Linked DNA regions of Macaca fascicularis. The protein of the gene in region 1 binds, or shares a complex with, the protein of each later gene. Links are inferred from orthologs where the notes say so. Each region holds a gene or a part of one and is shown in the gene's direction. Other genes may lie near its edges. The genes, in order: ADAT3 and ADAT2.

Region 1 (8,612 bases):
CCAACATGGTGAAACCCCGTCTCTACCAAAGATACAAAAATTAGCCAGCTGCAGTGCAGTGGTTATCGTAGTGAAAGTGAGTGAAAATCGTAGCTCACTTCAGCCTTGACCTTCTGGACTCAAATGATCCTCCCACCTCAGCCTCCTGAGTAGCTGTCCCAGCGGTCCCAGCTACTCAGTGCCCCACCGGACCCAGCAATTCTGTTTTTTTCTTTTTCTTTTTTTTGCAGAGATGGTGGTATGTGTCTCAAACTCCTGGCCTCAGGCAAACCTCATGTGTCAGCCTCCCAAAGTGCTGGAATTACAGGCATGAGCCACCATGCCTGGCCTAGATTCATTTTTTTAGATGCAGAAAATCTGGGCTTTGGATTTAATGACTTACCAAATAAAGGCTGTCCTTTTTTTTTTTTTTTTTTTTTAAACAAATCAGCAAAACAGGGGCTCTTGGCTAGTTTGCATAAGGCATCCAGTGATGGAGAGATGTGTATTTAAGCTAAAAAAAGAAAAAGTGAAACTCACAGCAGTCTGAGTTTTTATTTAGAAAAGGAAAAAAGAAAGCAACTAACTGAGAGCGAAATAGTTTCCTGGAATGCTGTTTTTTGTTTTTTTTTTTTGAGATGGAATGTCACTCTATTGCCCAGGCTGGAGCGCGGTGGTGCGATCTCAGCTCACGGCAACTTTCATCTCCCGGGTTCGACTGATTCTCCTGCCTCAGCCTCCCTAGTAGCTGGGATTACAGGCCCCCGCTATGCCCGGCTAATTTTTGTATTTTTAGTAGAGCCAGGGATTCACCATGTTGGCCAGGCTGGTCTCAAACTCCTGATCTCAGGTGATCCACCCACCTTGGCCTCCCAAAGTGCTGGGAGTACAGGCGTGAGCCACCGCGCCCGGCCTTGAAATGCACTTTCTTGGCCGGGCGCGGTGGCTCACGCCTGTACTCCCAGCACTTTGGGAGACCGAGACGGGCGGATCACGAGGTCAGGAGATCGAGACCATCCTGGCTAACATGATGAAACCCTGTCTCTACTAAATATACAAAAAAAAAAAAAAAATTAGCTGGGCGTGGTGGCGGGCGCCTGTAGTCCCAGCTACTGGGGAGGTTGAGGCAGGAGAATGGCCTGAACCCGGGAGGCGGAGCTTGCAGTGAGCCGAGATGGCGCCACTGCACTCCAGCCTGGGTGACAGAGCAAGACTCCATCTCAAAAAAAAAAAAAAAAAGAAATGCACTTTCTTTGAAACACCATGTCCTCCCCTTTTTCACCATAAACTCCCTCACTCTCTGCGAGTTTACCTAACTGTATGCGTCTATCTAATTATGTGATTACCTAAAAGTTCCAGGAGCAGGCTGGGTATGGTGGCTCGGGCCTGGAATTCCAGCACTTTGGGAGGCCAAGGCGGGCGGATCACCTGAGGTTAGGAATTCGAGACCAACCTGACCAACATGGAGAAACCCTGTCTCTACTAAAAACACAAAATTAGCCGGGCGTGGTGGTGCGTGCCTGTAATTCCAGCTACTCGGGAGGCTGAGGCAGGAGAATCACTTGAACCTGGGAGGCGGAGCTTGCAGTGAGCCGAGATCACACCACTGCACTTCAGCCTGGGCAACAAGAGCAAGACTATGTCTCAAAAAAAAAAAGAAAAAGAAAGTTCCAGGAGCCAATCTGGACACAGACCAAGAACGGAGACCCACCTGCAAAATCCCAGAGATTTCCTCAACGTGGTCTGCAACCTGGCCGTTATTAGGATGAGGCCAGCATGTGCTTTTAAGCCACACAGAGCTTATATTCAGCACCTCCCCTGCACACCCACCATTCCAAGTTCCTCTTTTTTAGCCCCTCACCCCAGCCTCAAGTTTGAAGGGGTTTCTGGAGGCCTAAGCCAGCTGCTTCCCCACTGCGAACTCTAAAAATGAAGTCGCCTTCGTTTCACTGCACTTTTTCCTCCTTATTGGTTTGGCAAGACTTGGGTATCCGAGCGTGAGCTGGTTACACCCAGGCACTGTCGAGTTGTTTGGGGAGGGGATGACAAATTCCCTCCCGTTGAGAACCACTTGGTTAAACCTGTCCAACTGGAAGGAGTAACAAATTGGTCATAAAATGTGCATGTTTTGGTGAAACCCCTTCTCTACTAAAAATACAAAAACTAGCCACAAATCACTTGAACCCGGGAGGTAGAGGTTGCAGTGAACCTAGAACTGCATTCCAGCCTGGGTGACAGAGCGAGACTCCGTCTCAAAAAAAAAAAAAAAAAAAAAAAAAGTGTGCTTGTTTGGCCCAGGAGATGCAAGAGGTCTTCTTTACCTACAGTACTGATGAGAAAACTCAAACCTGAGCACCGCCCAGGTCAGAGTGCAGTAACAGGCAGAACTGGAACCTGGCCCCATCCCAGTCTCAGGGGACTGGTGTCAATGTCCCCCCCCCCTGCCTCGTCCTCCCCACTCTGCTAACTTTCCAAAGACCCCGCAGGTTCTGAGTTTTCCCTGGCCGCTTCATGGGATTCCAACCCGTAAACTCAGCGCTCGCCCAGCGCAGCGGCCCCGCCTCGCCCCCACCGACGGTCATGTGAGCGCAGTGCCGGCGGGGGCGGGGCGAGGCGGCGGCGCGGCGAGGTGGCGCGCAGTCCCTGCTGGGAATTGTAGTCCTTGCCCCGCCTTTGCCTCGCGCCGACCCCGCCCCTGGAACTACGCTCCCGTCGTGCTCCGCGGCGCCAGGCGGAGACGAGGCAAGGCGGGGCGGGGCGCGCCGGGCCGGTTGCTAAGACTTGGCGAAGCGCTGCGCTCGCGCCCGGATCCCTCAGGTAAGCGCGTGGCGCCGAGGTCTCGGGTTCTCCAGGCTCAGGCTTCCCTAGAAGGGAAGTAGGGGCGAACATGGGGGGTCTCGGCGGTGAAGGGCGCCGGCCGTTCGTGGGGAGAAAACGGGGGGCCCGCGCCAACCTCGGGCGCTTCTGGGGCGGGCCGGTGGGCGCCGTGGGGAGGTAGCGCGAATGCGCGTGCGCTCGGCGCTGGCCTTGGGGGGAGCCTCAGGAGCGCGCTCCCCCGGGCCCAGCGCTTTTATACGCGTGCGCGCCCCTATGGCCCGGTCGGGAGACCCCGTACGCTCCAGCTGCTTCCGGTGGCCCTTTCCCAGGTCAAGTCCGCCAGTCCCCTGCCCCCGAACCGCGCACCCGCAGGTTTCCGGCGCTTTCGCGTCCTTCCTCCCCAGCTCTGGTTTGCCTTTACGTGAAGATTCCCCTAGTCCTTTGTACATCCCCAGAATTGACCATCGTTCCTCGTCGTTACCTAGAGTGCGAGTTTTTCGGGTTTTTCCATCACAGGCCCCCACTTATCTCCCACACCCTACCCCGAGGGCCGAGGTTCCCCGCTGTCTTGCAGAGAAGGCCTCCTTGTAGGATGGCCAGAAACACAGGATCGACTCCTTGGAAACTAGGACGGCTGGGCGCAGTGCCTCACCCTGTGACCCTAGCACTTTGGGAGGCCAAGGCGGGTGGATCACCTGAGGTCTGGAGTTCGCGACCAGCCTGATCAACAGGGTGAAACTCCATCTCTGCCAAAAATACAAAAATTAGCCGGGCATGGTGGCGTACGCCTGTAAAACCAGCTACTCAGGAGGCCGAGGCAGGAGAATCACTTGAACATGGGAGGTGGAGGTTGCAGTGAGCCAAGATGACACTATTGTACTCCAGCCTGAGCAACCTAGCAAGACTCTCCAAAAAAAAAATTTTTTTTTTTTAATTAGCCAGGCATGGTGACACGTGTCTGTGGTCTCAGCTACTCAGGAGGCTGAGGCAGGAGGATTGCTTGAGCCCAGGAGGTTGAGGCTGCAGTGAACTATGATGGCACTACTGCATTCCAGCCTGGGCAACAGAGTGAGACCCTGTCTCAAAATAATTAGGTATATATGTATAGCGCCGGGCCTGGTGGCTAACGCCTATAATCCCAGCACTTTGGGAGGCCGAGGCGGGTGGATCACGAGGTCAGGAGATCAAAACCATCCTGGCCAACACGTTGAAACCGCATCTCTACTAAAAATAAAAAGCTGGGCGTGGTGGTGGGCTCTTGTGGTCCTGGCTACTCCCAAGGGAGGCTGAGGCAGCAGAATGGTGTGAACTCAGGAGGCGGAGCTTGCAGTGAGCTGGAATCGCACCACTGCACTCCAGCCTGGGCGACAGAGTGAGAGTCCTTCTCAAAAAAAAAAAAAAAAAAAAAGCAACAAAATATATATGTGTAAAAAAAACAAGCCCCAGGCTGGGCATGGTGGTTCACGCCTGTAATCCCAGCACTTTGGGAGGCCTAGGCAGGTAGATCACAAGGTCAGGAGTGCGAGACCAGCCTGGCCAATATGGTAAAATCCCATCTCTACTAAAAATATAAAGAATTAGCTGGGTAGGCCGGGCGCGGTGGCTCAAGCCTGTAATCCCAGCACTTTGGGAGGCCGAGACGGGCGGATCACGAGGTCAGGAGATCGAGACCATCCTGGCTAACACGGTGAAACCCCGTCTCTACTAAAAAAAAAATACAAAAAACTAGCCGGGCGAGGTGGCGGGCGCCTGTAGTCCCAGCTACTCGGGAGGCTGAGGCAGGAGAATGGCGTAAACCCAGGAGGCGGAGCTTGCAATGAGCTGAGATCCGGCCACTGCACTCCAGCCTGGGTGACAGAGCGAGACTCCGTCTCAAAAAAAAAAAAAAAAAAAAAAGAATTAGCTGGGCGTAGTGGTGCACACCTGTTGTCCCAGCTGCTTGGGAGGCTGAGGCAGGAGAATTGCTTGAACCAGGGAGGCAGAGGTTGCAGTGAGCCAAGATCACGCCACTGCCCTCCAGCCTGGGGGACAGTGAGACTCTGTCTCAAAAAAAAAAAAAGCCCCCACGCAGACTATTGGTGTGCCCTGGCACTGAGCATTAGCTGTCCCTCTGTTCCGTGTTCTCTCCCCTACTTCCCCAGCCTTCCAGGCTGGGCTGTGGGTCACTGCCTCCGAGGGGCCCTCCTGGATGCTACTGGAGATGGTCAGGCCCCTCCATCCCCCCACTTTCTCTTATGCGCCTGACAGCCCTGCCTTAAAAAAAAAAAAGGCAGAGCAGGAATTCCCATTTCACAGGGGTGGAAGCCGAGGCTTGGAGGAATCAGGACTGCTGCCTGAGCCCTCGCAGCCAGGAGGTGGTGACCTGCCCTCCTGAGGGGTCCCAGTGGTCGACTGCCTTCTGGGCGTGTGTGGTAGGGGGAGGATCAGGTGGCCCCCCCCCCAGCTGTTGGGCGGCAGTCGCTGTACTGCCTGCCGGAGTGAGTCATCCCCCCTGGACCACAGCGGGTGGGTAGGAGCTGCTCTGGCAGTTAAAGCCGCCCTGGCCTGGGACAGTCCATCAGCCTGAACAGTGCCTGTTCTGAGATTTTGACCTGCCCTCCATGGGCGCAGGGGGCCCAGCCTGCAGTGTCCCAGGATTTTGACCTGCCCTCCAAGGGCGTGGCGGGCCCAGCCCGCAGTGTTCCAGCACTCCTCCCTGGGTCGTTTGTTTTTCATCAGACAGAGGTTGTACTCTTGGAGGGACAAGCGAGGCTGTGTTTGTCTTTGACCCTGGAGACAGTGGAGTGTTTGTGGCCCAGCCGGGCCTCGCGGTCCTGGTCGCGCGTGGTATGCGTTTTGGGAGGGCCCAGCGAGTCAACTGCTATGGGCCCCACCTGGCACAGGGCCTTGGGCAGCGGCAGCACCTAGCTCTACCTCTGCACTTCCGGCTCCCGGCTCCCACTGCGCTTCCGGTTCCGTGCTTCGTTGAACGCTTGAGCTTCAGGCAGCGCTGGGGCCACTACAGTGTGCCCTCCAAGTCCACTGGCCCGGAGTTCCACTGGCTGCTTGTCCCCCCACTGTGGGGCGCCTCGGCGGCTGAGGTGTGAACCGGGCAATGCATCTCGAGGAGTAGCGCCCACAGCTGCGCAGCTGCGAAATTATCCAGAGACACATCCCTGCCTGCGGCAGGAGCCGTCCACACCAGCAGGGATGTGTAGTCCGGCGGGCGGTGGTGGTCAGGATCGTCCAGAGTCGTTTTAAGATCATCTGCGGCTTAGTCCCAGCACCACCTGAGGCAGTACTGTCTGCTAGAAGTACTGTGAGCATACAGGTGTAAGGTTTCTAGGATTTTGTTATTATTTATTGATCTGAAAAAAGGAACGGGGTGTCTGCATGTTACCCAGGTTGGTCTCAAACTCCTGTGCTTAAGTGATCCTCTCGCCTTGGCCTCCTGAGTAGCTGGGACTACGTGTGCACACCACCATGCCCAACTAATTTATACTTTTAAAAAATGTGGGCCGGGCAGGGTGGCTCACGTCTGTAATCCCAGCACTTTGGGAGGCCGAGGCGGGTGGATTACCTGAGGTCAGGAGTTGGAGACCAGCCCGACCAACATGGTAGAACCCCGCCTCTACTAAAAATACAAAAAATTAGCTGGTGCAGTGGCGCATGCCTGTATTCCTAGCTGCTGGGGGGCTGAGGCAGGAGGATCACTTGAACCTGGGAAGTGGTGGCTGCAGTGAGCTGAGATCATGCCACTGCACTCCAGCCTGGGCAACACAGTGAGACTCCGTCTCAAAAAAATATGTGGGCTGGGGCCGGGCGCGGTGGCTCAAGCCTGTAATCCCAGCACTTTGGGAGGCCGAGATGGGTGGATCACGAGGTCAGGAGATCGAGACCATCCTGGCTAACATGGTGAAACCCCGTCTCTACTAAAAAATACAAAAAACTAGCCGGGCGATGTGGCGGACGCCTGTAGTCCCAGCTACTCCGGAGGCTGAGGCAGGAGAATGGCGTGAACCCGGGAGGTGGAGCTTGCAGTGAGCTGAGATCCGGCCACTGCACTCCAGCCTGGGCAACAGAGCGAGACTCCATCTCAAAAAAAAAAAAAAAAATATGTGGGCTGGGCGTGGTGGCTCATGCCTGGAATCCAGCCTCAGGCCTGCGGTGCGAGTCTGTGGGGGGAGATGCAGGTCGGGGAGGGCTGACCAGCTGAGACGGTGGTTTGGGGGTGTTCAGGTGGGGTGGATGCCAGAGATGTGGGAGCCAGAAGCGCTGTCCCCCAGGGCCCTGTGAGCAGTCTCTGCAGGCTGGCTGTCCCCACGCCTGCCTCTCTGCTGTGCTCTCTGCCCGCCTAGGGCAGGCTCCCCTCTCATGGGGTGATCCCGAGAACCGGGAGCCCCGCCAGCCTTTCCTCTCCAGTGGAGTGACCCTACCGCCTCCTGTCCTCACCTGTGCCAGCAGCAGGGATGGTAACGGTGCTGGTGATGTCAGGCCGGGAGGTTCTTTCTCACCCGAGAGCCACCTTGGCATGCTGCCCGGCAGTCAGGGATGTTAGCAGGAGCCCCAGGGGTGATCCAAGCTCTTCCCGCAGCCCCACTCCGGCCAGGGCCGCCTCTGTGACTGAGTAGACAGGGACACCCCAGCGGCTGCCTGCTCCACCTGACGGCCAGGGCCTCCTCTGTGACTGAGTAGACAGGGACACCCCGGCGGCTGCCTGCTCCACCTGACGGCCAGGGCCCACCATGGCTGCAGGAATGTGGTCAAGGGATGGGAAGCCGGGCCCTTATGTTTCGTGGCCTGTCCTCTGAGGTCTTTCTTTTCCTAGCTCTTGGCCAACTAGGGGGCTAGTGTTTACAGAAACCACCCGGAGGTGGGTGTTCCGTGTCAGTGCCAGGCTGTGTGCCGTTCTGGGAGGTGGCCCCGTGTCCCCCACACTTGGCATGCTTGCTTTCTGTCACTGCATAGCAGACTCCGTGCATCTGTGGGCTTAATACAACACCCGCCGGCTCCTGGTTCTGTGGGTCAGGGCCTGAATGTGACGTGGCTCGGTCCTCTGTGCGGGGTCTTACCGGGCTGGAACCCAGATGTTGGCCAGGGCTGTGTGGTCATCTGGAGGCTCAACGGGGGTGGCATCTGCTTGCGGCCGGGGGACCAATGGTCCTGCTCCGTTCCTGGCCACATGGCCCTTCTGTCTGGAAGCCAGGCACTGCCGGTCCACGGCTTGTGCTTCCAGGCTCTGGCTTCTGGAGATGCAGAGATCACATCAGTGGTTGCCTGGATTGCTGTGTGTGTTGTGGGGTGGTGAGACAAGTTTTCTCTTGGGGGTGATGGAATGTTCTGGAATTTTACAGTGGTGATGGTTGCACAACTCTAAGCATACTAAGAGCCACTAAATAGGACACTTGATTGTTTCTGGTATTGGTTTTTGAGTTTTTTGTTTTTTTTTTTTTTTGAGATGGAGTCTCGCTCTGTCGCCCAGGTTGCAGTGCGGTGGCCGGATCTCAGCTCACTGCAAACTCCACCTCCCGGGTTCACGCCATTCTCCTGCCTCAGCCTCCCGAGTAGCTGGGACTACAGGCGCCCGCCACCTCGCCCGGCTACTTTTTTGTATTTTTTAGTAGAGACGGGGTTTCACCGTGTTAGCTAGGATGGTCTCGATCTCCTGACCTTGTGATCCACCCGTCTCGGCCTCCCAAAGTGCTGGGATTACAGGCTTGAGCCACCGCGCCCAGCCGAGGTTTTTTTTTTTGAGAGAGAGTCTTGCTGTGTTACCCAGGCTGGAGTGCAGCGGCATGATCTCTGGCTCACTGCAACCTCCGCTTCCCAGGTTCAAG
Region 2 (8,826 bases), on another chromosome or scaffold:
TCTAGCTTTCTTCAATTAAGTCAAACATTAAAAAGATTTTCAAAATGTAAAACAATGACACTCATTAATTTTTTGAAAATGTTATTTATGTTAATATGTAATAGGTTTTTAAAAAATGAATTAATATTTAAATTTTCATTTTCATTTTGAATATCATAACTATTAATAGATATAAAATTTAGAAAGCTTTTGAGGGTCCTTAATTTTCCAGAGTATAAAGGAGACCTTAGACCAAAAAGTTTGGGAGTCAATTCTCTAGCCTTTTCACAAACTGGTCAAATTATGCCAGGCTCAGTGGCTCAGGCCTGTAATTCCAGCGCTTTAGGAGGCTGAGGCAGGACGACTGCTTGAAGCCTGGAGTTCAAGACCAGTCTGAGCAATGTAGTGAGACCCCCATCTCTACAAAGTAATTAAAAATTAGCCAAGCCTGATGGTGCACACCTGTAGTCCTAGCTACTTGGGAGGCTGAGGTGAGAGGATCACATGAGTGAGGAAAGTGTGAAGGTGTCAGGCAAATCTTCATAAGGAAGCTTTCTACTTGCCTTACATTGTAAAGCTAGCAAAGGAGAAATCAAGGCTGTAGTGAGCTATGATCACACCACTGTATTTTAGCTTGGGTAAAGAGCAAGACCCTGTCTGAAAAAAAAAAAAAAAAAACAAAAACAAAAACCGAACACACCCAAACACCCAAAACTGGTCAAATTATACAAACTGGTGTAAACCAATTAGTTACCCATCTAAAATTCAAGGAAACAGAAATTGTTACTTAAGAAGGCCTGCTACTGAAGGTTTTACTTACTTATTTCCCCCACGATTGAATGACCAAACTTCTCCAAGCATCCTGTTGATATACTGTCCAGCTTTCGAGCCTGTCAAAATGTGTCTCTTTTTCCATGAAATTCTTCCTGATTTTTCACAACTGTATATGCTACTTGCCAGTGTGATCTGTACAGCATTTTTTCACCTCTCTTGTTTTTCTGTATCTTAATTACATGTATACTTGCTTTTCCTTCCTATCAGACCATAAAGACCATGGAAGCACAGTGATATAATGTGGAAAGAGAATGTGCTTTGGGGTCCAACACACCTGGGTTTGAATTCCAGTTTCCCTTCACTAATTCTGAGACCTGAGGCAAGTTTCTTAAATTCTTAGGGCTCTTGTTGCCACATTTTTGAATGGGGATAATAATAACTGCCTTCTTGTCATTCTGCCTAAATAGGAAGAGCTTAGCACAATGCCCAGTGTAAAGTGGGCTCCCAATAAATAGTAGCTGTTACTATTAAAAATCTATAAATCTTGTATTTCCATACATATTACTTTCAGCACTACAGGTACTTGATAAATATTTCTTAAGTCAGATTAATTAAAATCTAACATACTGTAGAACTTTCTCCCTGAAGCAGAAAGAATACGAGGCTCAAACAAATGCCAACCATGGTCATCTACTCTTCCTTTCTTTTCAGACTGACTCCTTTATTGATATAAAACACTAGGATTATTTTCTCTTTCTATCCGTCTGAACTTTTCTTTTTTTGCATTCCTCTTATTCTGTAACTATAAGGCTCTTGTTAGATTTTTTTTTTTAATTATAAATTTCTTTTAAGTCTACTCTTTTGCTTCCCCTGTGATTATTTCTAATTTACCACAAGGTTGTTCCATAAGCTGAAGGAGTATTCCTTCTGAGATTGTTAGAGATAATTTTCCTTCCTTCGGTAAAGGCAAAAATACTTTATTTGTATTGCTTCAATCACACATCTATTTTTAGCTTTTATAAATAAAATGGACTCAGTAGTCTTAGGATAATTTAAATATACATTAGATACTAGAGAATGAAGATATCAGAAAATACCTTTTATATATAAAGGATTTCTCAAAGATGTTCAAAATTTACACGCTTATTATTGATCTGTGATAGATGTCAGAGGCATGCAAACACCATCCTTGGCTCAGCAACAAGAACTCTGTTTCAAACTTTGAAGCATCACCAAAATCTGAACTATTGATGCTAAGAGTATTGTTAATTGCAAATTGTTTGGGGAGAACAGAATACAATCTAATAAGTATTGTTAATTTCAAATTGTTTGGGGAGAACAGAATACAATCTAATATGTATTGTTAATTTCAAATTGTTTGGGGAGAACAGAATACAATCTAATACTAAGAGAAAAGCCAACCAAATTCTTTGGGAACCTCTGTTCTTTATTTTAAGTACTTCTGTAAACACAGCACATAATAAGTGATAAGAATATTTCTCAAAAACTCAAGTTACAACAAATTTCCTCTTTTAAAGTTCCTAGATGTTCTTTTCATATAATTCACAAAGCTTTTTATTCCCTCCTTCAAATCCCTGAATATTATCACATGAGCATTGTATGAGGGAAAAGGGTCTCAAGATTTTTATCTTATCTGTTTCTAAATCTCCTCTGGGCCCGTGCAACTCAGCTATGTCAGTTAGATTACAACGATCCCAACCTTGAAGATCCTGAGGAAGACTGCGCAACATCCCTCAAGCATTTTTCTTACTGCCACAGTTTGTATTCTAAAATGGCAGAAACAGAGCTAAAATATTGATTTGTTTTTCTTTATCTAATCCATCTCTTTCAGTCCTTCAGGACAACTGCGCTGTTTTCAAAAATTCAAATCGACTTTAACCACCACCTAGATTATTATTAAACTCCCTCCCCTAGATTATTATTAAACTCCTGAGAGTTTATTATTATTTATTTATTTATCATTTATTATTAAACCACCTCCCCTAGATTATTATTAAACTCCTGAGAAGGGTGAGAGCCATAGTGCCAAGAGTGCCAAGGAAAAATGAAGAATCTCACAGGAAAGCAGAATTTTTTTTAAAAAGTTCCTGTAACAGAAACTTAAACTGTACTGAATTCTCCAAAGGTCCGTGAGAAAAAAGGATAGGTGAGAAACAGTTAAGAGGCGGTGACAGGGCAAAGGGCACAGAGGCATTTCTCAACTGCAGAGATGGGAGAACCCTTGAGGTTGGCCACCTCCCTTTCCATCCCATGGTTGATCGAATCCCCTCTACAGATCCCAGACTAGGTTCGCCCCGGCCTGTTCTTATTTTAGAAAAAGTCACCTCTCCCACTCCCTTCTCCCAATGCCCCCTTTCAAGAACGTTGTCACCCACCTCCAAGGACCGTGCCCAGGAAGATGCATTTCTTTTTGTGGCGTTTCAGAAAATTCCATACGGACCTCAGCATCTTTAGGCCCTAGGGGTGTGCGCTGACTATGAGTGAGGGGCTGCTTCACCGGGAAACTGTTTCTTCGTCACCTGGCCCAGATGACCAAGCAAGAGCGCCGCCGTCCCGCTCTGCGCTCTCCCGAAATCACAAACGCGGCTTTCCGCAGACTGTCACCGGAGCGGCAAGGGGGCGTGGACTAGAGCAAAGCAGCTGCGCTTTCTGCGGCTGCCGCGGCGCAGCCGCCGCTGCTCACTGGTCCGACACGCCCAGGTCCGTTCAGAAATCGCTCCCGAGTGCCTTTCCATTCGACTCCCCCGGAAACGGGGGCCCGGGCCCGCCGCGTTCCGCTGCCCGCGCTCCTCCTCCGCGGCGGCCTTTGGCGCTGAGTGGTGGCCGGGTATGGAGGCGAAGGCGGCGCCCAAGTCAGCTGCAGGCGGCGCGTGCTCGGTGTCGGCAGAAGAGACCGAAAAGTGGATGGAGGAGGCAATGCACATGGTGAGGAGCCCGGGAGGTGAATGCTGCGGGGTGGGACCTTTCTCCAGCCCTCACCCCAACCACGGCATTTGAGCAAACGTTCTTTCTCGTCACCATAATTTTTATGGCAGTCAGATGTTCTGGGTGAACTACTGGCTTTACTGCCTCGAAACTTTCTGTAGCCCATTCTCACAGTGACTATGGGCGAAGGAAAGGGAGGAAATACAGAAATTATTTGTTTCATTGGGGTGGAGTATGCTGCAGACTTAGCATTCTGTCGCTGGCTGGCACGTGCTGCCTCCCTTTCCTTTCTGTGGTCACACTCTCCAATCTACAAAATCACATTATTTGAGGTTTTGGCCCCTGGACCATGTCCAGCAGAAGGAAGGAAACTGAGAACGTTTCTGGTAGAGAGCAGTATGGAAACAAATCCCTGTAGAATCGGTGTCTCGCATTCATTCATTCTTTCCTCTGCCCTTTTACGTCCTTCCCTCACTCCCTTCAGGTCTGCGGAGTAAAGGGGCCTTTCAACAGAATGGTGTGTGCTAGCGAGCTTCTTAACTGGGAAAATAGTTTGTTTGCAAACATGTATATTTACATTTTAATAACTGTACATACAGCCACGTGCCACATAATGACCTGTCTGTAAAGGTCGTTATCCTGGAGCATTAAATCTACTCACCTTAGCCCTATTGTCCCATCCAAGTACTAACCAGACCTGACCCTGCTCAGCGTCCGAGATTGGGGGACGTTCAGGGTGGTATGGAGGTAGACAACACTAGTCTCTATGTAGACTTCTGGGCTAAACCTTTTTGCCACCTTTTAGGTTGACCTTGGGCTAGCACAAGTAAATACATTTACATACGTTTACAAACAAACTGTTATCCCAGTTAAGAAGCTCGCTAGCACTTTTCAGCTCCGTTATAATCTATAGGACCACATATACAGCGGTGGTCCTATAGGATTATAACGGAGCTGAAAAGTTCCTATTGCCTAGTGACATGTAGCCCTCCTAACAAGTACTTTTTTCCCTTTAAGACCTTGAAGAAACATGTATATGCCAAAACCCAAGAAGCAGCTGCCTCCTTAGTCTTGTGTAGGAGGAGGTAAACTATGGAATCACATCCCTAGGTGTTTATAATACAATTGAGAGACAAAAATTTCAAAGCCAGAGAGGTCTAGAAATTCTTTGAAAACATCCACATGTTTAAAAAGATAAGATACAAAGTATCATGGCCAGATGCAGTGGCTTATGCCTATAATCCCAACACTTTGGAAGGCAGAAGCAAGAGGATCTCTTGATCTCAAAAGTTGAAGAACAGCCTGGGCAACATAGCGAGACCCTGTCACTACTAAACAAAAATTTAAAAATCAGTAGGGCATGGTGGCATGTGCCTGCAGTCCCAGCTACTCAGGAGGCTGAGGCAGGAGGATTGCTTCAGCCTTGGAGATTGAGGCTCTAGTGAGCCATGACTGTGCCACTATACTCCAACCTGGGAGACAGAACCAGACCCTGTCTCAAAAAAGAAAAAAAAGATACAAAGTAAAGGAAATCGCAGAGAAGGAAAATATTTGCAACATATATAAAAGGACAGGTTTAATAACCGTAACATAGAATTTATATAAAATCTAAGTACTTTCTGAGGTAAGAGGAAATATGTATACCCTAATACTGAAAAGGTCAAAGGATATGAATATATTTCTTTTTAAAATTTCCTTTTATTTTTAAAAGTGTTTTTTTGTTTAGACAGGGTCTCTCTGTGTTGCCCAAGCTGGTCTTGAACTCCTGGCCCCAGGCAATCGTCCCACTTCAGCCTCCCAAAGTGCTGGGATTACAGGTGTGGGTCACCACACCTCACCTGAACATGATATTTCTAAAAGAAGTGACGAGTAGCCAGCAAATGAATGAATACACAATTTCACTATTAATGAAATTCAAAGTAAAATGATACACAATTTTTCACCTGTTAAATTGGCAAACGTGAAAGCAATTTTAATGCTTGGTGATAATAAGGATGTGCATGTTTGAGGTGTTTGTTGGTTGGGAGGAACTGAATTTAGAACACCCTTTTATTAGGACAATTTGGCTAGGTAGATATAAAAGGCCTTAAAAGTGAGCTTATCCTTTGATCCATTAATGCCCCCCCTTTTTTTTTTCCCAAAGTGAAAATATTTTAATGTTTTATTTTTCTGATTATGTAAATAATTCATGGGCATAAAAAATTCAAACTATAAAAAAGGGTTAACCAATTATGTAAAAATTACCTGACAGTCCTATCATTAGAGATAATACTATTAGTGTTTGGGAGCATCCTTCCATATCTCTCTGTCCATATGTAAACAGCCATATGTACTTTTGCATAAATGGATTTACATGTTCTCTTTTTGATTCTCAGCACATTTTTTTGGTAGTCTTAATATATTAATCACTCCTCCCTACCTCATGGTATTTCTGTTGCTATGGAGTGACTATCAAAAATGGGACAAAGGATGTATGTGCTTTGAAATTATATAGATACTCCTGTATTGCCTTCTAGAACCATGATGCCCAATATCGTAGTCACTAACCATGTGTAGCTATTTAACTTTAAATTAATTAAGGTGAAATAAAATAAAATCCAGCTCCTCAGTTGTGTTAGCCACATTTCAAGTAGTCAGAAGCCACATATGACCACTGGCTACCATATTGGACAGTGCAGATCAAAGGATATTTCCATAACTACAAAAGGATTTGTTGGATAGCATATAAAGTTATCAACTTTACTACTTGTTAGGTTTCTTTCTGAGAGCTAAGCATAGCATCATCATAGGTTATTGTTTTAATCATCATAGCATGTTCAGCATAGCATTCTAAAGATAGGCTTGGAAAAAAAAAGTATGACTAAGTAATAGTGTTGCACTCTTGGTGTGTTCCAGATACTATGCTATGCACAGTGTTTTCATGTGGGCCATGTCATAAGCCCCACAGCAGCCCTATCAGGTGAGTATTATTATGGTCCTCATTTTCAGATGGGGATATTGAAGCTGAGAAAGTTCAGTAACTTTCCCAAAGTTAGAGAGCTGGTAAGGATGGGGCTGTGACTTGAGCCCTGTCGTCTGCTGTCAAATACTGGCCTAGCCTGCCTCTTAGTGTTAGGTAGCTCACTGCTTGCCAACATATCCTCTGCTCTCTTTCTTCCTTTTCAGTTTCCTTACCCTGAATACTGTATATCTACTGTGTAATTTAATTGGACATTTAGATTTTTTCTTTTGTGAATTGCTGAGGCATATACTTTGCCCAATTTTACTAATAGTTTGATTTAAAAAATCGCACTGTAGGAGCTCTTTGTATTTTACAGCTGTTTCTAGGAATAATTCACAAAGAAGCCATAGAAATATTTATATGGAGATGTTCTTATTTATAATAGTGAAGAATTTGAATCACTTAAATGTCAAATAATAGGAAACTAGTTAGTTGAATCAAATATGTTCATAAGGAGAAATACTGTACAACCTTTACAAAATCATGTCATGAAAAAGTATTACCCAATGTAGGGAAAGGTTAACAGTACATTTCTAAATGAAAAAGGCAGACTGCTGAACTGTATATATAGTGTAAATCTCTTTGACTTTTTAAAAACTATCAATATGTGTATGCAGGGCCTAGGGAAAAAAACAGAAAAAACTTCTGTTGCCTCAGAATAACAGGGATTATATTTTCGGGTATTGGGATTCCTAGTGTATTTTTTTTTTTTTTTTTTTTTTTTGATATATGAGGTTTTTTGTTTATTTTTTTAATCCCTAAGTTCACCTTGAACATATCTTACTTTACAATTAGGAAAAAAGAAAGATTGACTATATATATATGTATAGAAAAAAAATGTTGCAAGTTTTCTAGAAAAAAAGTCAGTTGTATTTTTTTGTAGTATGCATTTTTGGGGCAGTTGGTATTAATATAACATTATGCTAGGCTCTGAGGGAAATTCAAAAAGAAAACAAACACCGCAGATACCATTTCAACAAATGTGGTATGATTACCATTTCAACAAATGTGGTATGATTAAGTTTTTGCTATGTGTTAGACCTCATGCTGGGTGCCTAGGCTGCAGAGGTGAGCAAGAGAAGCTTCACAGTGCCTGGATCTAGTGCTTGCCTTCCAGGAACATACTGTTTAATTGATGAAATTAAGCCATGCACAGATGAAAAGGTTGGTAAGGAACATATCCGATGACCACAAGAGACAGATATAAAGTGCTATCACATAACAGCTGGCAAGGTCCTACAGCACGTCAGTTGAGATATATGGTAGAATTCCTTGTAAATTTTAAGGGACCAAAAGGATGTGGGCTGGTTGAAAGGAAAGGTTGATCCAAGCAAAGATACTGTCATGTACAAAGAAATCAAGAACTTTGTTTTGGGTTAGAAGGAGATCTAGCTATCTGTCTAGAACAGGGCTCCCTAACCTCGGGCTTAGGTTTAGGGGGATCTATGAACCCTGAAACTATATATAAAATGTTATGTGCATGTGCCTTTTTCAAGTGGGACAGTCCATAACTTTCATCAGAGTCTAAAAGGGGATTTCGGCTCTGAAAAGGTTAATAACCTAAATGAATAATGAAAAGTTAGGTTGGTTTGGCTGGCCAATGAGAGGATGGGTGGTAGTTGGGAGATCTTCAGTGCCATATTGAAGAATTTAAAGTTGATGGAGTGAAAACATCATCACTTTTTAAACCCCTGAACTTAAACTATATAACTGTTTCTGCTATTTACTCAGAGCGTAATCACTCAGAAGAGAGTAATTAGCAGAAACAGTTACATAGTTTAACCTTTTGGACATGATGATGTTCTACCTGAGAGTTGTTCTGGCTAACATGTTTGTTTCCCCTAATTTTTTGTCTTTATAGGAAATATTTCTTTGAGGGCTCATCAGAGTCTGTGCAAACAAAGTCTGTCTCCATTTCTCCCCCTTTTATCATGACATCACCGGAAAGCAGTTTATAGTAGTAATGTCTTTGGAGAAAGTAATAAACTATGAAGTCTCTTCCATCTAGGTGCTTTCATTATGTGTAACTGGGCAGGCCCTGACTAAAGAAAAAAAAGAGATTACATTCAAAGACAAAATAGAGACCAGTGTTTGGGCTGGGAAGAACAGAGATTTTATTCTTTAAT

Evidence for each region.
Region 2: the proteins of ADAT3 (region 1) and ADAT2 are in contact, whole or in part, in a crystal structure (PDB 9HMM), measured with the Mus musculus proteins. The link is inferred for Macaca fascicularis from reciprocal best matches to the Homo sapiens genes ADAT3 and ADAT2. Residues at the interface, in NP_001094076.1 of Mus musculus: Val217, Ala218, Pro220, Leu221, His223, Ile229, Asp230, Ala233, Gln236, Gly237, Glu270, Ser272, Pro274, Val276, Val290, Met291, Met294, Ala295, His298, Ala299, Pro311, Asp312, Leu318, Phe319, Val321, Arg324, Asp326, Leu327, Asn328, Pro349; in NP_080024.3 of Mus musculus: Val62, Asn63, Lys66, Asn67, Ala68, Thr69, His71, Met74, Ile77, Leu81, His85, Pro91, Cys107, Ile108, Met109, Ala112, Ala113, Leu116, Met117, Arg130, Phe131, Val137, Leu138, Ile140, Asp144, Leu145, Pro146, Asn147, Thr148.

Annotation. Positions count from the first base shown.
Region 1 is NC_088393.1:2,525,443-2,534,054, forward strand, and holds the start of ADAT3 (probable inactive tRNA-specific adenosine deaminase-like protein 3), read left to right. Parts: upstream 1-2,728; 5' UTR 2,729-2,796; intron 2,797-8,612.
Region 2 is NC_088378.1:47,651,415-47,660,240, reverse strand, and holds the start of ADAT2 (tRNA-specific adenosine deaminase 2), read left to right. Parts: upstream 1-3,588; 5' UTR 3,589-3,603; coding exon 3,604-3,699; intron 3,700-6,594; exon of another isoform or gene 6,595-6,658; intron 6,659-8,826. Other genes in the region: PEX3 (peroxisomal biogenesis factor 3), read right to left, coding at 3,150-3,222. UniProt on the Homo sapiens protein: Probably participates in deamination of adenosine-34 to inosine in many tRNAs.